Linked DNA regions of Diceros bicornis minor. The protein of the gene in region 1 interacts with the protein of each later gene in a pairwise test. Links are inferred from orthologs where the notes say so. Each region holds a gene or a part of one and is shown in the gene's direction. Other genes may lie near its edges.

Region 1 (7,816 bases):
CCCTCAGCAGACCGAGGGAGGAGACTGCAGCATCTGAGTCAGCCGGTTCCTGCAGGAACATTCGGCACCCAGCGGCCCTGTGTGGGCCGCCAGCAAGCAGGAACACGGCCCCCGGAGCCCCTCCGTGCCGCCTTCCCTGAGGCCTCCCGCTCTCTGTTCCCACAGCTGTTCCGTCAAGGCCCCAGAAGGAGAGTAGGAGGAGAGGGCAGGTGAAGGGGAGGCCATGTAGGCTGCTGGGCCAGAATCTGGGAGTTTGGGCAGAGGGGAGCATCCTGGGCAGAGGGTCCAGTGTGTCCTGGGGCTGTCCAAGCCTCAGGCCTCTACCCGAGATGGGGAAACTGAGGTTCAGAGAAAGGGAGAGTCTATCCCCATTCTGCACATGTACAGACATCTAGTTCTCTCCCAAGAGCTGAAACCCTGGCCTGGAGCCTGAAGTGTAAAGCTGATCACTTCCCTCTCTCTCTGGCTCCAAACTCTCCCATAGCTCCCCAGCACCTAGAGAGGTGAATCCTAACTCAGAACAAAGCCTACACACCTCACCACTGCCCATGAGGTCCAACCTGGCTCCTGTGACTCCCTTAGCCCTCAGTGCCCCCTACTCTCTTCCCACTCACTCTGCTCTGGCTATCCTGGCCTCCCTGCTGTTCCTCCAAAACACCCAGCCCATCCTTGCCTCAGGGCCTTTGCACATGCTGTGCCCTCTGCCCAGAGCACTCTTTGTAAGTTATTATCTTCATTTGATCCCTCAGGAAAGGTGCAAAAAGAGAAGGTCACGTGTCCAGGAACATGCATCAAGTTGGTGGGAGTGAGGTTTGCACCCTGGCCCTCTCCCACCAATGGTGCCACGTTTAAAACAGGCCTCCAGACCAGTCCACCGTGGAGCTAGATGATTCTCAGCCCCTCCAGGTCTTGCTGCCTCCAGGTGGGTGCCAAAGACCCTCAGGCCTCGGGCTCAAGTCTCCCTGCTCAGGGAGCTCCTGGGCCAACCCGACTGACCCCCAAGTCTCCCAGCGTCCCTCCTGATGTGGCCGCAATTCTTTTGCCCCACTTTCTGCCCTTCACGCAGGCAGATGGCAGAGCCCTCAAGGACGACATAGCCAAAAATAATCGGGCTCCGACCTACCTCCCCAAAGTGGGCCAGCCCCGCCCAGCCACCTGGCACGGTGCAGGTAATTAGTGCATGTGGCAAATGAGGGTAATTAGGTCTGTGGGAACCGAACCGCAGATCCAGGTCCGGAGTTTGGAGGGGGCTCGAGGATGGCCTCCCCCACCCCCAACCCGCCCTGGTCCTGGGAGCTCAAGTCCATAACCCAGAGCCAAACCCTCCCCTAGCCCCTTCATGCCTGGGCCTGAGGGGCCTGGCTCTGTCACTTCCTGGGAGCTGTTTGTTTAATGAATTAAACCTGGCCTTGGGTTGGATCTAAATTTAAGGTGGGGTCCCTGTCAAATGATAAAAACTCACCAGTATTGAGTCATCGAACTCTCCTCTGCCATGACCCCAATGTGTCCATCCAATGCTGGGAGATGCCAAGCCCGAGGGAAGCCAGGCTTCCTCAGTGCCTGCACACTTCCAGGTGCCCTCAGGCTGGGGGTCAGAGCTGAACACAGACGCCACCAGGCCTTTGGGGTCAGGGTTTGGCCAGAAGGAAGGAGGGTGTTGGGAAGAGTCCAGAGGGAGAGGAGGGAGGGCTTTTTGGAGAAGAGGGCATTGGAGGTAGGGCTTTGAGGGATAAATAGGAGTTTTCCAAGAGGACAAGGTCTGGTGGCTGGCCCAACTGACGATGCTGGGGGAAGGGGGAGAAAGAGGAGGAAGATGGCTGGAGGGGCACAAGCGCCTCAGAGCTAAAGATTTAGAGGATATCATGCCAGGTTGGACCCATTTCTGTCCTCAAGAGTTCATGCCTGGCTGGGACCCTTCAACTCCTAAAAGAGAAAATCTTAAGAACTCGGCCCAGGATCAATACCACATGCTGGACAGCCAAGAATAAATACAATGTTTATAATGGCAAGCATTTATTAAGCTCCTAGAGTCACGCCTCTTCACGCAAGGACTCCTTGGATCCTTACAGCAAACCTCAGAAGTGGGCACCATTCTTATTCCCATTTTATAGATGGGGAAACTAAGGCACAGAGAGGGAAAGTGGCTTCCTTAAGGTCACACTGCTGGTAAGAGGCAAGGCTAGGATTCACTCCCTGGCTCATGTGACTCTGGACCACCAAAAACCAAGGCTGGGGCCTAGGGCTCCTCGCCTTCTGGAAGCATTTACAGAGTTCCTGCTGTAGGTCAGACTTGCTCTAGGTGCTGAGCCGTGGAAGAGGTGGACAGTAACCAAATCACACACAACAGGTCTAAGCGGCCACTGTGACCTGTGCCACATCGTTGGGCAGGTGGCTTTGGGAAGAGTGACAGACTTACCCTGATTTGGTGGGACAGCAGCTCCCCAGAGAGGACAGACGATTTAGCTTTAGTCCAAAGGTTGGGTCAGATTGAAGTAGGCAGAGGACAGAGCTTGACCCCTAAGAGCCACTCTGCAAGGGCAGCTTCCCTAGAGCAGAGCAAGCTGTTCCAGTCCCTGTTTGGTCCCTCCTGTGACAGGGAGCTCCTTCCCTCATGCCTTCCTCAGCCCCAAGTGAACGCTGTTGCTTCTAGCCAGCCACCCTGTGGTGATGGCCTCTGCCACCCTGCAAGGACATCCCCAGGCAGCAGAGGGCTCAGGCTGCAGGGGGCTGCAGCTCAGGGCAGCCCCCACCCATCGATACCCAGGGGACAGTGAGGAGCTGCTGCTGTTGCCTGGCTCCTCCCTGCCTCCTCCCCCACCCCCAGCCCTGCAAGCATCAGACCATTGTCCGGGCAAGAAAACTGAGATCCACACTGATAAAGCCGTTCCTTCAGTCTGGACTTGACTACGACAACTTCAGGTCAGGGCTGCTCAAGGCTAGCCCTGTCCCAGCCACTCCCAGAGGTCTGAGAGGGGGCCCTACTCTCCCTCATGCTGTTGCCTTCTGCCCACATACGCAGGAAAGTCTGCCCGGGCCCCTGGCCTAGCCACCCCCAGAGAATGGCCACGTGGCCCCAGCTCTGCAGCCGGCCAGCACTCAGCACATCCTGAGTGGCTTCCAGAAGCCTCGACCCTGCCGGCACCTTTCCAGTTACTTTTTTTTTTGGTTATTTTTTTGGTAATAAGGAAAAGTCACTCTTTGCACAGAACAGACGGTATTTTCTTTGTTCCCCACAATGTTCAAGCATTTTGTGGCTTTGGGCCTGAGAGCGAAGCCAAATCCTTTGTCTGTGCAGATGCCTTGTGAACTTAGAAGCAGCTGGGGAAACTGAGTCTGTGCCTCAGTTTCCCCAGCTGGGGTAAGCAGTCCCTCTCGTGCCGGGTGAGGCTGGGGCTCCAGGACGGGTTGGCCCTCCAGGAGTACCCAGAAGTAATAACCAGGTAACACAGACCAGGGATCCCACAGAAAGGGATGGGGTTGTGAGTAGGGGAGGGTGAGATCCCTTCCAAGCCTGGGAGAGTCAGAGAAGCTTCCAGGAGGAGAGGGGGCAGCGGAGCTGAGCCTGGAAGGAAAGGAAGAATACATGCCTGTGGAAAGAGCACTCCATGGGGAGGAGACAGCTTGGGCAAAGGCCTGGAGGGAGCAAAATTCAGACCTTGGCCTGGGAATAAGTCTCCAGAAACACCAGGACCTGGAATTCCCTAACGGGAATATGAAGGCAGCTCCTAGCTCAGATGTGTGGTTCTTGTCAGGAGGAACAGAAATAAAAGAACAGGGAAAGGGGACAGGGGCAGAGCAGATGAAGAGCAAAACCCCTAAGGGTGTTGGAAAGCTCAGACCTGAGGCTCAGAGCTTCAGGGAACTGCGGGCCGGTTCTGAGGAGCCCCGTGCGCTGCCCACCAAGCAGACGACTCTGTGTGGCCCCAGAGGAATCTCCGGAGAAAGGGCAGCCTCGCGACTAAGTGGGCCCCACAGGCAGGCTGGGGCCTGGGGAGGCCGATTCCGGCTCAGCTGCAGAAAGAGCCTCTCCTGGCAAATGTATGAGGGCTGGGCTCCTCCAACCAGAGGTGGAAACCCAGGCCCGCAGACCTCCAGGGGATTCACCCATTCGGTGGGAACTGGACACCCACCTTCCCTCCGCCCTGGATTCTGGGACCCTGGGATACAGCGATAGTCATCGTAATCTAACCATCACTAGCATTGCTACAGTGGTCTCAGGGGAGAGAGAGGCAGACAGAAGCCTGAGCCTGGGGGATCAGGGCTGGGCGGGAGGGCAGGCAAGAAGGATTCTGAGCAGGGCACCCAAGATCAAGCCCCATTAAGTGTCTACTGGTTGCTTCTCTCAGCCTCTTCCCGCCCCCTCTCTGCCCAGGTCTCTCTCATTTCCTGGCAACATGCACTGAGCACCTACTGTGTGCAGGCCCTGCACCCACCAAAGTGGCAGATGTGCCTCTGTCCCTGCACGCCCCTCAGGTGGACAGGGACCTGACTCCCATCAGGGGCAGAAGGCAGCAGTGACCTGGAGTGTCGGGGTCACCCTTGACGAGAGAACGAAGCCACATTCCCCACTGTCCATCTCTGTCTGTCTGTCTGTCGTCTCCTGTGTCTCTGCCCCCACCCCCACCCCATCCTTCTTCCCCACCCTATCCTTCCCCACCCTGAACCCCCTCCCCCGCGCCGCGGAGGGCCGGCAGGGGGCGCTGCGGGGCGGCCTCGGGGCCCGGGGAGGCGGGGCGGGCGGCGGCCGCGTCGGACCCGCCGCGATGGGACCGGAGGCGGCGCGGGCGGCGGCGGCGGCGCAGACAAAGGCGCGGGCGGCGGCGCGGAGGGCGGCGCGGAGGGCGCGGGCCCCGGAGCCAGCGAGCGAGCGGGGCGCCGGGCAGCGGGGAGTCGGCGCCGCGGGGTCGCACCCGACTCGCTCCCGGACACTCGCGAGGCGCCGAGCCGGCAGGGTGAGCCGGGCCCGCCGAGCCTGCGCGGGGGCGCGGGGCCCCCGAAGTTCCCGGGCCGGGGGAGGGCTCCGGGGGTCCCCGAAGTTCCGGACCTGGAGGCTGGGGGCGGCTCGGGGAGCCCCGAAGTTCCAGGGCTTGAGGGGGCGCCGGGGCCCCGAAGTTCCGGAGTCGGGGTCGGGAAGGGACTGTGCGAGGGCTTCCCAAAGTTTCGGACCGGGCGTTGGAGGAGGCTGCGAAGGTGTCTCCTAAGTTCCGAACCGTGGGTGTGGGGGCGGCACGAGGGGACCCCGGAATTCCCCACCTGGAGATGGAAGGGTGGCAGAAGGTCCCCGAACTTTAGGAGTCGGGGGCGGCGCGGAGGGTCCTCGAAGTTCTGGACCTGGAGTTGGAGGAGGCAGATAATGTGCCCCCGAAGTTCTGGACCTGGAGTCGGGGTGCGTCGCGGGGGTCTCAGAAGTTCCGGGGTCAGGAGCCGCGCCTCCCGAAGTTGGGGCGCGCGCGGGGCGCCCCGCTCCTGACGGCGGTGGGGACTCGATCCTGACTGACTGTCAGGCCCCCGGCACTGGGGCGCATGGGGTGGGGCTTCGCCCCCGCACGCGATTGGGGCTCCCCGGCACCGGGCAGGGTCGGGCCCCCTCCGGGAGCCCCGCGGCCGAGGCGCATGACTAGCTGGTGAGTAACTTTCCCCGAACGCCAACGCCGCAGGTCGCGGCAGAAGCGTCGGTGCCGGAAGGGCCTGAGTTCCTGGGACCCCGGCGCCGGGAGCCCTGCCCCAACCCAGGACCCACCCCCAACCCCGCCGAAGCTGCCGCCCCTCCTCCACCTAGGGGCTCGGGTTTCAGACCCTGTGACCGGGACAGCAGCTGCCCAGGACAGGGCTGTGCCGGGGCCTCCCTTCCCCCCCGCTTTGCCTCCCCCTCCCCCAGGTCCCTCCAGGATCTGGATCCCGCCCGGCCCCCCATGGTGTCGGGATTGAGTGGCATGGGAGGTCTGGCGGTAGGCAGCAGGGTGGACCTTTTTGGTTACATCTTGTCTTTTTAACGAAGCTGGAGGCTTCCTGAGCATTGGACCTTGTCTCTAAGGTGTGCCTCTGCCCCAGAGTGGAAGCTCAGGTCTCTCTCTGAGCCCAGTGGGAGACTGGTTTCCCAGTAGGCCCCTGGCTGTGCCCCACTTTTTGATGGTGCCCTGGTTTGGGGAGTGATGGGTGAATGTGGCAGAAAGTACTGCGCGGGAGTTGGCCTTGGCCTCCTCAGCCCAGCTCTGAGACTGAGGGGGCTTCACTGGGGTCCAGTGACTGGGCCGGTGAGAGGTTTACACTGGGATGTCAGGGGCCCCAGCTCGTCTCAGAGAGCCGTCTCCTGCCCAGGGTGTTGTGGGGGCTTCCTCCAGATGGAGAGAGACCGGTTTTTTGGTTCTGAGTGATCTACTGAGTCCTTCACCTTTTTGATTGAAGTTCTGTGAATGGTGCTCCTGGTGGTGGGTCCTGAGGTTGGACCTGCTTGGCCTCCCTCAGCCTGGCCTGTGGGGGACACTCACAGGCCCCCTCTCCCTCCAGAGGTGGAGCCAGCAGCTTCTGCCATCCCCCTGGCTGCCTCTTGGAGCCCGCCCAGCTCAACCTGACCAATGTCCACAGCCAGGTGAGCCCCCATCTCCACCTGCTTGGCCCTGAGCCCCCTGGGCGGCGCCCAGCCCCACTGAGCACCCTCTCCCCGTGCAGGGAGCAGCCCATCTTCAGCACACGGGCGCATGTGTTCCAGATCGACCCGGCCACCAAGCGGAACTGGATCCCAGCGGGCAAGCACGCGCTCACCGTCTCCTACTTCTATGATGCCACCCGCAACGTCTACCGAATCATCAGCATCGGGGGTGCCAAGGTCCCTGCGGGGCCTGGGTGGGGCGGCAGGTGCCAGGGGTCCGAGTGACAGGCCTGGGTCTGGTCGATGCCTTGCTCTGTGCCTGGAGGAGCCCTAACCCTTTCTGGGCCTCTTCCCTTCATCCTGAAATAGTTCAGAGCAAGGACCTCCGCGGTGCTAATACAAAGTGATAGCCGGGTGGTGGTGGGGGTTTCATGTCCATTGTTACCAGTCCCACCAACCTTGAACTCTGCTCCCCCCTTCCCAGGCCATCATCAACAGCACTGTCACCCCCAACATGACCTTTACCAAAACCTCCCAGAAGTTTGGGCAGTGGGCAGACAGTCGTGCCAACACTGTCTACGGCCTGGGCTTTGCTTCTGAGCAACATCTGACCCAGGTGGGTCTTGGGGTTATGCGGGGGGAGGGACAGGGCTGCGCCTGGGTCTTCTCCTGGGTGCCCTGGGGACCCTGGAAAGGTGCTGGGCCTCCGTCTTCCCACCTGCAGAATGGGCGTACAGAATTGGACAAGTCAGAAGCCCCTCCTGGTTCCCTGGTTCGCGTCTCAGCTCTGCTGGCCGCCTGCTCCGATTTTGCAAACACCCTGCCCTCTCTGGGTGCCTGGGATGGGCTGGGCGCTTCCCCACACACCCCAGCACTCCCTTCGTCATCGCCTCCCTCCACCCCGCGTCCTCTCAAGACTTCAGTCTCGTCTTATCCATTGTCTTCCTGTATGGCTAGCGCCCCTGAGTCCTGCTGAGATCGTGATGATTTTCTTCTCTTTTCTTCTAGAAGCTTGTTTTCTTTTCACATTTAGGTCTTGAATTAATTTCTGTGGGTGGTATAAGATAGGAATATTTTTTCCATGTGAGTATTCAGTTGCTCTTGGACTGTTTTTTGAAAAGACCATTTCCCCCCAATGATTTGCACGGGCCTCTGCACAAATCAAGTGGCTGGATGTCTGTACATATTTTCTTTAAAAAATTATTTTCAAAGGAAGGAAATTTATTT
Region 2 (7,535 bases), on another chromosome or scaffold:
GGATCAGTGAACTTGACGGTAGGACAACAGAAATTATACAAACTGAACATGCAAGGAGAAAAAAAAGTTAAAAAACAGAAACCAAAACCCAGCATCCAAGAGCTGTGGGACAATAGCAAATGGTATAACATACACATAATTGGAATCCCAGAAGGAGAAAGGAGAACAAGAGCTGAAGAAATATTTGAAGAAATAATGACGAAAACTTTTCCAGATTAATTAAAAAAAATAACCAAATTATAAAAAAAAAAAAATAGGTGACTATTGAACTTCTAAACAAGACATAAAGCCTCAGCATCTCAAAAGGAATAGATAGACAAATGTGACATAATCAAATCCTGTCATACAACAATACCATAAAACAACGCTGAATAAACTGGAAGAAACATTTGCAACAAATATAACAGAATATGCAGAATATATCCTAAAAATTAGAAAAAAAATGACAGAAAAATGGACAACAGTTATGAACAGACAATTCCTACTATAATATAAGTTCCACATGAGTGGGAGTTTTTGTCTGTTTTATTCACTACTTAACCCCAGGGCTCAGAACAGTGACTGGCACATATTAGGCTCTTGATAAATATACGTGGAATAAAGGAACTCACAAGCGGAAGAAAAACCAATGCTTATTTACATATTACAGTCTTCAACATCACTGGTTATAAGGAATAAACAAATTAAAATATGGAGACATTATTTTTTGTCCATAGGTTTGAGAGATATAAAAAAGACTGGTATCAAAACGTTGAGGGCATAGAAAAAGAGGTATCTTTACATAATTGATGAAATTACAAATTGGTATAACTTTCTGGAAGGAAACTTGACTATCTATTAAAATTTAAATGTGTATGCTCTTTCTCCAAAGAATTCTACTTCTTCTATTATTCGCCATACAGAAGTGTATACATATGTTTTGGGGAGCATGTGTATGATGCTAATTACACTAACCCTAATTGTAAGAGCAAAAAATTAGCAATGATTTACACAAGTATCAACAGGGTAATTGTTAAAGTATGGTATATCCATTATATGGTGCACCACAGCAGGTAAATAAAATGTGGTAGACCTACATGTGCTAAGATGGAAAAACTCTGTGAGATATAATACAGAGTGAAGAAAGTTATAGTACAATGTGACACTACTACTAAAAAAAAAAGTCTAATGGATGTTAAAACTGCAAAAAGTTGATAGAAAACTAAATATTTGCACGTTGCCAAAGTGTCCCCCACATATTTGCTAATGGCAAAAGGGAAATATTTGTACAAGGAAGGAATTAGGTAGTTATTACCTTAACCCAGTGATCAAAATTAGCACCACTTACAGTAAGATCACCAGACATTATTGCCTCCTGACAGAATGTAATATGGAAGACACAACATCATTTATTAAAGTATTTTTGCCAAAAATATTTCAACTGATTTAAATCTAACTTCTACTTTTCAGGAAGTACAGAGGATAGAGGAACAAGTTAAACAATGATACAAAGAAACAATCAGACCAAATTGGAATGTGGGACCTCATTATAGAAGATGGCTTGCTCTCCAAAAACTCAAAGTCAGTGGGGGAAAGATCAAGGGGTAGGGAAGGAATGTTTTAGGCTGAGGAGATTTAAGGTACACAATGAAGTGTAAGATGTAGTCCTTGATTAAATACAGCTATAAAAGACACCTGGGACTACTTTGGGAAATCTGAATCTGGACTGGATATTAATGACATCAGGGGATTAGAGTTACTTTGGTTAGATATGATAAGTGTATTGTGGTGATGTAGAAAAAGTTCTTATTTTTTTGAAGATGTATGCAGACATATTTAGGAGTGAAGCATCTTGACATCTGTAATTTAAAATAGTTCAGCAAAGAAACAAGTCTGTAGAACAAATGTGGCAAAATGCTGGCAATCATTAAATCTGGGTATAAGTGTATGGGTGTTGTTATGGTATTTCTTTCCACTTTCCTGAATAAAGCTGTATTTCTATATGTACTATACGTATGTAAACAGGAAAACTATATTCATGGTGATCATAGCTGGTTAGCTTCAGGGAGAGGACTGGAACTGGGCAAATGGGTAAAGAGGGCAGGTCAAACAAATCCAAGAAAATAGAAACATAACAGAAAACATGGATGGTGCACCCACCTTAACATATTCAACTGCTCTTGGAGAAAAATCACAGGCATAGGCAAAGATATTCGGATCTTCTTCCAAAAGTGGGAATAAACAGTTCCCAACCCCACAGCCAGCTTCAAGCATAGTCAATTTTTGATCTTCAAACTGAGGAAAGAGAATCCAAAGTTTCAGTATACTACATTTGCCTAAGGAAGAAACAAACCAAACTAAAAGGTTAAGAACATGAGAGACAAGGTCTCTGCCCTCAGGGAGCGGAGAACAAACAACTGAACTAACAACCAAAAGTTAATACTGATACTTCATCTATTGTCCAACATTCAGCAGTGTGGTATGGAGAAAACAGCATAACAGCTAACAGCACTGGCTCTGGGGCAAAACTGCCTTCACTCAAATCCCAACTCCTCCCCACGCACCACCCCTAACGCTGGACAAATCACTTAAACAGCTTTGCGCCTCAATTTCCTCTCAAGTGGGGATAATACCAATGCCTACTTCAGTGCTATTATAAGGCTTAAATTACAGAACACATGTAAAGTTCTAGAAAAGGGCCATGGTAAAGTGTTCCTCATCATCTTATTGTTATGAATCTGAATCTGTCACTGAAGTCACTCAGTATGAATTACTATTTACAGCTTGCAGATTAGATTTTGAGAAGTTTTGTTTTTTGCTGGGAAAGATTCGCCCTGAACTAACATCTGTTGCCAATCTTCCTCTTTTTTTTTGTTTTCCCCTCCCCAAAGCCCCAGTACATAGTTGTATATTCTAGTTGTAAATCCTTCTAGTTCTATTCTAGTAATCCATCTGTCAGCATGGCTACTGACAGATGGGTGGTGTTAGGTCTGCGCTCCAGAGAACGGAACCTGGGGCGCCAAAGAGTGCATCGAACTTGAACCACTATGCTGTCAGGGCTGGCTCAGATTAGATTTTAAAGAAATGGAAAATGCCCACTAAAGTTCTGTCTCCGATGTATTAACAACCCAGGAACCGCTAACAATACTTGAGACCACACAGTATATTTCTCTCTAAGGTACAAAGCATTTCGACAGGCTTCATAAATTCTCTACTTTACACTCCCCATAGGAAAGCAATAAAGCACCTCTCTAACACACATTTTAAATGAAGAACAGCAAATAAGACGTAATATTGGCTTACCTCTCTACATGATCTGAGCTCCTCAAACTCTCTGGTGGTCCAGTGTCTATCTTTGAAGAAATTAGTACTATTTCTTTTGTAAAAAAGGTCCCAGTTCTTCTGAGCCTCTTTTTCCAGTTTTTGTTGTTTAAAATCAGACACTAAAGCTTGGTCTCTTTTCAGTTTCTCCTCTTCTTCAGAACTGAGGATCCTTGCCTGCAGCCCTTTCTTTTGCGAAGAAGCCATCTCATACGTTGACAGTAATACAGTCAACGCTGCTGAAGATTCTCCATCCCTGAACAACCGGAGGAGTCCAAGTTGATACTGCAGACACAAGCAGGGTTTTCTCGAATTCGGTTCCCCAGGTTGCGTTCACGCCTCAGGCAGCATCACGTCCTTCCAGGAAAAAGAACGAGATTCTGGTTAGTGGTTCTAGACCAGTTCTTTCACCAAACAGTTCAACTCGCCCAACACTCACTACATGCTGACTCTACACCAAACTCTGCCCGCTATACAAGGAGAGGTCACAAAGAGGGCCCAGACACGGTCCCTGCTTTCAGAGGGTTTACATGCAGCGGCCAGAACAATCAGGGACCAAACTCTAATTCAAGCCAGCTTGAGTCAACTATTAGAAGAAATCGGTTTCGTTTAGAAAAAGGACACTCCCAAGAGTTGACTGAGAAATCTTGGGGAGAAAAGACTCATCAATTTTCGTGAAAGGGGTGGCTTAACAACCACAACAGCTGCCTGAACCGGAGGCGGGTGGTCGCCTGCCAAACACAAGTGGGTCATCGTTTCCCAAGGCTGGGAGACTCCTTTTTTCCTGGGAAGATGGAGCGGAGCCCCGGGGGTCGGAGCCCCTGATCGCACCCACAGGGGGCTCGCGCGAACCAGACGGGGCGTCGCTTTCCAGGGACTGAGCCCTCGCAGCGCCGGCACGGCGCGAAGGGGAGAAAGAGACCCAGCGACGCGGGCGTAGAGTCCCAAGAATCCACCGTCTTAGGACACTGGGGATAGACTGGGCCGCCCGGGCCGCCGGGGCCTGCGGAGAGCCGGCCGTCCCGGCTCTCGGCCCCGCGCTGGTCTGCTCCGCCGCGCTCCGGGCTCACCGTCATCAGTTCCCAGCTTCACCCAGAGGGCAGGGCCGGGCGCACTCAGCCTCAGCCCGCCCCGGCCTCGGACGCCGAGCCGGGGGGGCCGCCGCGGGAAACCCCCGACCCGGGACAGCCAGCCTTGAGACCCTCGACCTGAGAGTCTCGGGCTGGATTCTGTTGTCATGGCACCGCCCCCGCCACTTCCGCTACGAACCCAGAAGTCCCTCCCCGGCGCCGGAAGTACCGCCGCCTCGCTTCCTCAGAGTCTTCTCCCACCCCGACGCGGAGGGACCGGCTGGCTTCCGGCCCCGGGTGGGCGCCGGCTCGGCTCCCCTTACGCTCCGGAGCGGTGTCCCGGGAGCACCGTCCTGCCGGACGCCGGCGCCGGAAGCTCGGGCCGCGGCCGCGCCTGGGGAGCGCCGGTGCGGGCGCGAGGCGGGTGCGGGGCCATGAACGGGACCGCGAACCCGCTGCTGGACCGCGAGGAGCACTGCCTGCTGCTCGGGGAGAGCTTCGAGAAGCGGCCGCGGGCCTCCTTCCACACCATCCGCTGTAAGTCTGCGCGCCCCGCCGTTCCCTGCCCCCGCTCCGGCCGCCTCTGCCAGCCTCGCTCCCTCCTCTCTGCCCTCGGCCCGTCGGAGCCCAGGGACCCCTGCCCGCGTCGGCTCCCTGCTCCCGACCCCGGCTCCTCCGGGACCTCGGTTTTCTCCCTTTTTTTCTAGCTTTCTCCTCCCAAACCAAACCCTTCGTCTCTCCCAACACCTCTTCTGCCTCGTGGTCCCAAACGCTTTTTCCGAGGGTCATTGGCCCCTTTCTCTTCATCCCCCCACCCAGGCCTTCCTTGTGCCCAACCTTCCCCCTCTTTATTACCGGAAGCCTGTGACCCCGCATCAGACTCAAGTTCTTCTCTCTCTGATCCTCTCCGCGTTCGGATTACCCACCAGGGTTCTCCACATGTAAAGGACTCCTGTTTGCTCGTGAGCCTCATCCACTTCCTCCTATTCCATTCTCTCCTTGCCATTTGCCTCAGCTTTCCTTCCTCGTGCGTCTTAGTTCTGGCCACCCTGACCCTGCGCTGCATCCCCTCTGCAGCCAGAGTCGGCATCCTCTCTGCGCCCAGCAGTCCTCCTCCGTCTGCGTTCCCTGCCTCTTTTGAGGTCGCCTGTACTACCCTGACTTTTCCTCTGGACCAAGTCTCTTGTGTGAAGAATAAAATTAGAATTTGTGAGCCTAGAGTAAGTTAAAGCTTGCTCTATGTTTGGAGGCAGAAGAGAGCACGCGTAAGGAATGTCAAGCTAGTCATTACGCTGAACCTTCTTTTTCTACATGATTAGAGACTGTTGAGGGAGGGCACTTCCACTCTGTCCTGGGTAAAGACTTGGCTGTTAGGAATTGGCTGACTGAGCATCCGTCTGTGATTCACAAGCTCTTGCTTCCCCGTCTTGGTAGCTGTAATGCTGGGTGAGACTTGTTTTAGTCAAAGGAGCTAATAGATGTGACTCAACACCTTGGAAGAGGGCGTGTTAGATAATGAAGTTCCATCTTTGTATGGTCACTTGCCACGCCATTACTTTGCTTCTTACTGACAGCAGATCAGCTCTTTAAGAGGGAGGATGTTGGGAATGTGATAAGAGCATCATCTCCTGAGCAGTTTACTAAGTTGATGTTTTAGTAGGGTAAAGGGCAATGTGGAATTTAAATGAGACTTCACATATGCACCTGGCCTTCAGTTTGAGGCAGGTGTGTGTTAAAATGGAGTAAGATGGCTATTCATGTTGTACTTTAACTGCAATTCAGCAACATGGGCAGGATTTAACCCTTGGAGATACAGTTCAACTGTCTGCTCCAGACATCTGCAGGACGTAGCATTTGTTAAAGCTATGGAACTTGACTGTGGCAAATCCTAACTTTGACACTTCTGTGCAAAATGAAGTCACTTATATGATGCTGTGGCCTTTCATATTTCATATAGGGTTTTACTATTACAGAATCCTTTTGATATGCTCAGTTTCTTTTGATCCTCACAACAACCCTAATAAAACACCTTATTATGGATAATAAGGCATCAATTTTCATCTATCACTTGGGAGAGGAGAATGTCTTTGCTTAATAAAATGGTATATAAATTTTAGCTTTTTTTTTCCTTCAAAAGAATCCAGTGAGGATGGAGGAAAAGTATGTGGAGGTATAGATGAAATAAGATTGTCCCTGAGTTGGTAATTATTGAAGCTGGGTGATGGTACACAGGGGCTCATTGTACTCTTCTCTCTGCTTTTGCATATGTGAAGTTCTGCACAATGCAATAGTTTGTAATAAATTCTAAATTATTAGTACTTTCCATTTACCTGAGTAATAAAAAAATTTTAACTCTTAAAGTGAGTATGCCCAGGAAGCCCTTAGTATAAGTAACCTGGTAAATAAATGCTTTTATTCCTTTCTCTTCAGATGACTTTAAACCAGCATCTATAGACACTTCCTGTGAAGGAGAGCTTCAGGTTGGCAAAGGAGATGAAGTGACAATTACGCTGCCACATATCCCTGTAAGTTTATTCCTTCGTTGTTGTTGTTTTGTGAGGAAGATCAGCCCTGAGCTAACACCTGATGCCAATCCTCCTCTTTTTTTCTGAGGAAGACTGACCCTGAGCTAACATCCGTGCCCCTCTTCCTCCACTTTATATGGGACGCCGCCACGGCATGGCTTGACAAGCGGTGCCTCGGTGCGCGCCCAGGATCTGAACCGGCGAACCCCGGACCGCCGCAGCGGAGTGCCCGCACTTAACCACTTGCGCCACCGCGCCGGCCCCTGTTGTTGTTGTTTTTAATGTGGCATCACAGTGAATCCTCGTGTTCTGTTATCGCAATTTGAATTTCCACTATTTAAAAATTTCTAGATTTCAAAGTGCCAACATAAGGAAAAAAAGAATTTTGGGGATAGGGTGAGATGGAATTTATGGTTCCCAGGTGCTTGAGTGAAAAATGATTCTTTGCCATTTTCCGCAAGCTCCCTTTTGCCCCATTTGCTACAAAGTAGCCAAGGTTCCTATCAGGACACCTAGCCCCTCCTTTAGATGTGCGTAGCTTTTCCCCCAAGCAGCTCCTAGAGCCCTAGGTGCCATGTTGACGTATAGCAACAACAGTTTAGAAATCTGGGGCAGCCAAGCCAGAGTGAAGGCAGGCAGG
Region 3 (7,036 bases), on another chromosome or scaffold:
CAACCCTCCTAGGTAGAGATCTAATAGTTGATGAAACACATTTTGCCCACAAAAAGATACAAGCAATGAACATTCTTTATGCATAAAAGCCCCAAACCAGAAACAACCCAAATGTACATCAACAAGTGAATGGGTAAAGAAACTATGATCCATCCGCACCGTGGAACACCACTAGAAAGGAAAAGCAATAAAAGATTGATGCACACAACATGACAGATGGATCTCAAAAACATCGTGTTCTTTGTGAAGATACTAAAAATCACTGGACTGCACCCTTACAAAAAAGAGTGAGGGGCTGGCCGGGTGGCGTAGCAGTTAAGTTCGAGCTCTCCGCTTTGGCAGCCTGGGGTTCGCAGGTTTGGATCCTGGGCGTGGACATACACACCGCTCATCAAGCCATACTGTGGCGGTGCCCCACATACAAAATAGAGGAAGATGGGCACGGATGTTAGCTTAGGGACAACCTTCCTCAGCAGAAAAAGAAAAAAAAAAAAGAAAAGTGAATTTTATGGTATGTGAATTTCAATAGAAAACAAAACATGTTGAGTGAAAGAATCTGGACATAAAAGAATCATAAAGGGCCGGCCCCGTGGCTTAGCTGTTGAGTGCGCGCGCTCCGCTGCTGGCGGCCCGGGGTCGGGTCCCGGGTGCGCGCCGACGCGCCGCTTCTCTGGCCGTGCTGGGGCCGTGTCCCACGTACAGCGGCTGGAGGGAGGTGCAGCTATGACATGCGGCTATCTGCTGGGGCTTTGGGGGAAAAGATAAATAAAATTATTAAAAAAAAAAAAGAATCATAAAATGATTCCACATGGTATGAAGTTCAAGAACAAACAAAATTAATCTATGATGATAGAATCTGCAGAAGGAGGTTGCAGAGGGCACAACACTTATGCATGGGGGAGTGGACTGGGTGCTGGCTGCAGGGGTGTATACATATATAAAAGTTCATGGAGCACACCCCAAAAGATCTGCGTACTTCACCATGTGTAAGTTACATCTCCATCAAAATAATAATTAAAAATAAAAGACATAACACTTTACAAAGTGGGAGTCACCTGTGTTCACCTCCCCAACCCCATTCCCCTCCCCCACTACAGAAACAACATCCTAAATAAAAATAATGCTACCAAACAATTACTGCTCCCCTATTCTATGCTTTACAAGAATTATTTCATTTAAGCTCCCAGCAACTCTATGAGGTAGGCACCACTACTATCACCCTGTTTTACAGATGAAGAAACTGAGGCACAGGGCAGTGAAGTGACTCGCGCAGGGTATCCCTGTCAGTGTGCCTGGGCATCAGGATGGGAACCCAGGTGGCCTGCCCCCTCAGCTGGGGTGCCAGGCACACTACCAGCCCACTGCTCCAGACCGGTGTGCTAACTAGATACATAGTTTCACTTTCTGTTTTTTAGTAATTGCTCTAAAGTGTATGAAACTGTGACATTTTTTCTACTTGCTGTTTTATCTCCCTTCAACACAATGTTTTGGAGATTAGCCTTGTTGATACATTCAGCTCTTCTGGTGTCAGAGAAATCTACTTCCAGCTCTTTCTCTGGCCCCTACTGGGGGAGACTTGGTTTGCAAAGAGCCTTCCTTATCTTTTGAGAAGCACAATCCTCATTCAGTCCCTCCCCTGCCAAGAATCTGTCAGCAGCTCCACAGTCCTCAGGGTCACGCCTGAACTCCAGGAGGGGCCCGGCCCCTCCAGCCCCACCACCCACAGCCTCTGGAGCCTGCCCCGACTCCAGGCGATCAGCAGTAAGAACGCCAGCAAGTTCCTTCATCCAGCAGCTCTCTATTGAGCACCTTCTTTTTTTCTTTTTTTGGTGAGAAGGATCAGCCCTGAGCTAACATCCATGCTAATCCTCCTCTTTTTGCTGAGGAAGACCGGCTCTGAGCTAACATCTATTGCCAATCTCCTCCTTTTTTCCCCCCAAAGCCCCAGTAGACAGTTGTATGTCCTGGTTGCACATCCTTCTAGTTGCTGTATGTGGGACCCGGCCTCAGCATGGCCAGAGAAGTGGTGGTTGGTGCGCGCCCGGGGTCCGAACCCGGGCCGCCAGCAGCGGAGCGCGCGCACTTAACCGCTGAGCCACGGGCCGGCCCTTGAGCACCTTCTATATGCTAGATCCTGTTCTAGGAGCCGGGGACCCAGCAGTGAACAAGACAGTGATCCCTGCCCTCAGGGAGCTGACATCCTTCTGGTGGAATCAGACAAGAAAGAAAAATAGTAGAGTCAAATTTATTAAAATTTGCAAGAAAGAAAAATCAAACTATGTGAGGGGTAGACTTTGGGAGGGAGGGGTGGGCGCTTGTTTGAGGTGGAGATGCAGTCAAGGAAGACTTCTCTAAGAAGGTGACATCTGAGCAAAGACGGAAATGAAGTAAGGAAGAGAGAATGCCAAGATGAGAAGGAGAAGCCTTGCAAGCAGAGGGAACAGCCCGTGCAAAGGCCTTGAGGTGGGAATGGCATCGGCACATTTGAGGAGCAGCGAGGAGGGCGCGTGGCCCGAGTGGAGTGAGCGAGGGCAGTGGGGTGGGAGAGGAGAGCAGAGGCATCAGGACATGCCGGCTTCTCCCTCACCCACCTGCAGGTCTTTGCTTCTGCTGTTCCTTCTACTAGACACCCTTTTCGTCTTTATCCACTTTGCAAATTCCTAATTTGTCCTTCACAACTCAACCTCAGTGCCAGCCCTTCTGCCTCCTCCACAGGGGCGCGGCTGCCTCCTCAAGGCCTCCATGGGTCTGGGATACCTTTCTCCTGACACCTCAAACTGTGTTCACTCATTCATTCTACAAAGATGGAGCGAGCACAGGCCAGACACTGGGCAATTTCAGAGAGGAGTGACATTTAAAATAAAAAAACAGGGCCATGGGCCAGATACAACACAACATAGGGATTCCCTGGGAAAGTCTCTCAGAGGACATGACATTTAAACAGAGACCTAAATGATCAGAAGAGGCCAACTTTGGAGAGATGTGATGGAGGGGCATTCCAGACCAAGGAATAGCCAGTGCAAAGGCCCTGTGGTTGGAAGTAAGGTGAGAACACTTGAGGAACAGAGGGAAGGCCAGCGTTGCTGGATGGGGAAGAAGGGAGCAGAGGGAAATGCAGCTGGACAGGTGGGCAGAGGCCTGACAGGACCAGCTTGTGAGGGGTGGGAAGTCTTTCCTAAGAGCTCCAGAGAGCCAGGGTCAGGTCTTCCAGCAGGTAGAGGCAGGGGGTGGGCTGTGCTTTAGGGTTTCCAAGGCCCCAGAATGGATTAGAGAGGGGCCAGCGCAGCTGCAGGGAGGTGCTGGGGCAGTTATCATATTTGATTGAAATTGGACAATTGTACAATTAGTCCTTGGCCTCCAAGTTTCAAACTCGACTCTGTTTCCAGTGCCACCAAAGTCCCCAGTGGGCCTCGATAAATATTCACTGAGTAAACGGATGCGGGAAGGTTGGAGTGAGAATTTGGCAGGGTTCCCCAGCTCCATCCGGGGAGGCAGCCTGGAGCCTGGCAGACAGCAGAAGGCCAGTCTCTGGACAAGGTGGCCCAGGCCCTGGGCCACCTGGGAGCCTTCCTCTGCCACATCCTCCCATCCGTAAAATGGGTGGGCTGGAGAATTAGAGGAAGGTACCATGTTCCTCCGGGCAAGGGCCATTAACATCCCGGCTCCATAATTGGGGTGAGGGGCTTCTCTCTGAACCCCAGGAAAAGGCTCAAAAATCGGGAGCGAGAGAATTAGCTCAAAGGGTTATTTAATTCAGTGGATAAATATTCGAGGAACAGCCAGGAGGCTGATGTGGCTGGAGGGAGTGAGCAAGGGCGAGGGGGGAGGTGGGGAGACAGGGCAGGTGAAGGGGACAGATCGTGCAGCGCCTTGTGGGCTGTGGGGAGGACTTGGGCTTTTACTCTGAGGAAGGTGGGAGCCATGGGGCATCTGAGCAGAGGAGGGGCGTGACCTGACTCAGGCGTTCACAGGCGCCCTTGGGCTGTTGTGAGGCAGGCAGACTGCGAGATCGAGGGAGGAGCCGAAAGACCTAGGAGGAGGCGCCTGCATGGGTCCAGGCGAGCGACGGTGGAGAGTGGTCCCGGCGGAGGCCGCGGAAGGCGTGGGAAGAGGGTGGACTCTGCATCGGCATAATTTCTCCTCCCCTTCTTCTCTCTCTTTCTCTGCTAACCGCCCCCCTCCGAAGAGTCGCCCAAAGGAAGAGGGGAAAGAGAGAACGTCGCGCCCTGGTCTCTGGGACGACGCAAAGGGCGCAGGGCCGCAGGTAACCAAGGTGCCTCAGCCCTGCGCGCGCGGCCGGGTCCCTGGAGGGCGCCAGTGCGCAGGCGCCGCCGCCAGGGCGCGCTCCCCGCCCTGCGCCCCGGGACCGCGGTTTGGCTCAGTCCCCGCGTTTCTAAGGGATCGGGGTCGGCCACGAGCCAGCTGCACGCCCCGGAGACCCTGGAGAAGCTCCTCGGAGGCCTCCACCCTCCGCCTCCGCGTGGGCACGAGTCTGCATTTATGGAGCGCCGCCTGCATGCAGCAGCCCCGAAGAAGAGGCTGCTCCCCATCTTACAGCGGGGAGAACTGCGGCTCAGCCACAGGGCCCACCGCGAGTCAGCGACGCAGCTGGGATGCGAACCCCCTTTCATAACGACAATAACGTTAGAAAGGACAGCAGCTGACGTCTCTCGAGCGCTTACCGTGTTCTCAGCACTTGCGTGCAGTCTCATTTACTTTCATCCACACCCGAGGGGTAGGCGGGAAAAGCCTCCCTGTTTCCCAGATGAGGCGCTCGTAGGGTTTGGGGCTCCCCCAAGGCATGGGGCGCCGGCATTTGAACCCCGATCTGCCCAGAGCTTGTCTCCAGGCAGTGGGGAAGCTCCCGTGCCGTGAATGCGTCCTTCCCAGGACGCCTGAACTGGCAAACGCGGGGGGTGAGTCGTTTTTGCTTTTTGAGGGGTCCCGGGAGGCCCCAAAGCCTCCGCCGCTCCCCGCCTTAACGTGGCTCACTCCTCTCTCGGGGTTCCCGCGCGCTCAAACAGGGGACCCCCGCGGACGCAGGAAGAGGCCAGGGCGGGGGGCCCTGCAGGCGGGACCCCGCAGCCCCGGGGGCCGCCGGGAGCCGCGCCCCCTCGCCCCGCCCCCTCCCCGGGCGCCGACCTCGCGGTCACGTGACCGGGCCCGGCGGCCGCTGGGGCCGGAGGGCGCGGCGCGCGGACGCGGCGGCCAGGCCAGGCGGGGCCGGAGCCGAGCAGGCCGGAGCGGGCCGCGCGGGGGCTCGAGCCGCGCCCGCCCTCCCCGCCGCGCGCGGCGCACGCGCGCTCCTGCGCCCTCCCTCCGCGCGGGGACCCCTGGCGGGAGGCGCGAGGACATGGCCAGCGATGCCGTGCAGGTAGGCGCACCTGCGGCCGCCCGCGCCGGGCCCCCCGCCCGCGCGCTGCCGGGACCCCGGGCCCGGGCGGGGTCTCCCGAGCGCCCGGCGCCCCCTCCCTGGGCGGGCACGGCGGGGCCCGCGGGGCCCCCTGCGCGGCAGGTGGAGGTCCGCACGGGGGGGAGCGGGAGGTCCCGCCGCACCCCAAACTCCGCCCCTCCCTGGGAATTAGAGGGGGCGCGCGGAGGCTCGACTTGGGGTGTCTGCGGCTGGCTGTGCGTCCCGTGCCTGTCGCCCCGCCACTCGCCCCCTTCCCCGGCGTCCAGGTCCTGGTTCCCGGCAGGTGCCGCTGCACCTGGGGCAGGTGCCTGGCGCGGGGCCCCGGGAGGGGAGAAGGACGCCGGCCCGTGCCCCTCCCCCGCACAACAGAGCTCCAGCGCCCCCACCTCCGGACTGAGCTTTACGGTGGTCCCGACGCCACCAGATTGGCACCTGTTGGCAGAAGTGCCCGAGTCACCTCATTAGGTCGGGGGACGAGGACCCACACGGCCATCCTCCGGGCTGCCAGGTGGAACCTTGTCCCAGGTGGGGAGTGTCCAGGTCAACAGACTGGGGATTTTCTGCTACCTGGCATCCTACCTGGGCATGGGTGACAGGACTGGGTCACCCCCACGCACACACAAACACACAGAGGCACAGGTGACTGTCACCGACCTGCCGCCCAGCCAGGCTCTCCCTGTGCCATCTCGTGGACATCACAGCCCTGGACTCACCTTCCCCATCTGTGACAAGCAGGGCCAGGGTGACTTCTGACCTTCTGTGGTTCATTGCCCCAGTCTGAGACGTGTCCTGTGCCTGTAGTGCCCCTGATAGTGCCTCACCGTCCCTCCGTCGTGTGGTTGCCATGTAACTGGGTTCTCGTCTCCTTCTGCACCTGCCTCCACCCCCTCTGTGTCTCCCCCGTGACCCCCTGTCCCCCGCCTCAGTCCTGCTGATGGCCTGCCAGCCTTGCCGAGGAGCTGGGCGTATCTGGTGTTGCCGATCACGCAAGGTCAGACCTTGGGGCTGGTGAGGGCCGGGGTCCCTGCGTCTGCCTCGGCCCTGGGGGGTGCTGTGCTGGATTCCCCCGGCACATGCATGCACTTGGTGGGTACGAGACATGACCTGGACCGAGGCTGTGATTCCTGGAGCCGGGCTGGACCCGCACCCTGGCCCCCTTTCCCATCTCTGGCTTGCTCTCTTCTCCCCTCCTGATCATCTTTTTCTCGTGCCTGCTTGGGCCTGCTACCCTGTCCCTCTGTCTGTCCCGACGTGTGCCTATCTGTTCTGTGTCCAGCAAACGGATATCCTGTCCAGATTCCGGAAACGCCCAAAGCATTGAAATCTCCGGACGTGGGGGTCTAGGTCCCTGGCCGCTCTGGGAAGAGGGGGATTCTGGGAGGTGGGCCCTCTGGACCTGGAGTCTCCTGCTTCGTGGTGGGAGAGGAGGAGCAGGGATCCTCCAAGGCTGGGCTAGGCCCCTGATTCATGGGTTCGCCTTGCTGGCCCTCAGGTGACCCCTGCCCTCTGGGCAGGAGTGAGTCACCCAAGAGAAGAGAACACAGGAGGCCGGGCCTCCCTCTCTCCCTCCCTGCTCTGTGTATTTTCAGGCCTCCCCTCAGAGGTGGGGCGGGGGAGCCTGCT

Evidence for each region.
Region 2: the proteins of HOMER3 (region 1) and EAF1 interact in binary tests that used the Homo sapiens proteins (3 or more experiments, as listed by UniProt). The two-hybrid records come from large-scale screens. The link is inferred for Diceros bicornis minor from reciprocal best matches to the Homo sapiens genes HOMER3 and EAF1.
Region 3: the proteins of HOMER3 (region 1) and PKN1 interact in binary tests that used the Homo sapiens proteins (3 or more experiments, as listed by UniProt). The two-hybrid records come from large-scale screens. The link is inferred for Diceros bicornis minor from reciprocal best matches to the Homo sapiens genes HOMER3 and PKN1.

Annotation. Positions count from the first base shown.
Region 1 is NC_080759.1:6,480,449-6,488,264, reverse strand, and holds the start of HOMER3 (homer protein homolog 3), read left to right. Parts: upstream 1-4,811; 5' UTR 4,812-4,952; intron 4,953-6,507; 5' UTR 6,508-6,575; coding exon 6,576-6,589; intron 6,590-6,669; coding exon 6,670-6,826; intron 6,827-7,073; coding exon 7,074-7,205; intron 7,206-7,816. UniProt on the Homo sapiens protein: Postsynaptic density scaffolding protein. Binds and cross-links cytoplasmic regions of GRM1, GRM5, ITPR1, DNM3, RYR1, RYR2, SHANK1 and SHANK3.
Region 2 is NC_080741.1:21,906,345-21,913,879, forward strand, and holds the start of EAF1 (ELL-associated factor 1), read left to right. Parts: upstream 1-4,532; 5' UTR 4,533-4,537; coding exon 4,538-4,907; intron 4,908-6,800; coding exon 6,801-6,895; intron 6,896-7,535. Other genes in the region: tRNA N(3)-methylcytidine methyltransferase METTL6, read right to left, coding at 2,140-2,274, 3,283-3,507. UniProt on the Homo sapiens protein: Acts as a transcriptional transactivator of ELL and ELL2 elongation activities.
Region 3 is NC_080769.1:3,430,182-3,437,217, reverse strand, and holds the start of PKN1 (serine/threonine-protein kinase N1), read left to right. Parts: upstream 1-4,033; 5' UTR 4,034-4,048; coding exon 4,049-4,264; intron 4,265-5,247; exon of another isoform or gene 5,248-5,353; coding exon of another isoform or gene 5,354-5,374; intron 5,375-5,842; exon of another isoform or gene 5,843-6,347; coding exon of another isoform or gene 6,348-6,404; intron 6,405-7,036. UniProt on the Homo sapiens protein: PKC-related serine/threonine-protein kinase involved in various processes such as regulation of the intermediate filaments of the actin cytoskeleton, cell migration, tumor cell invasion and transcription regulation.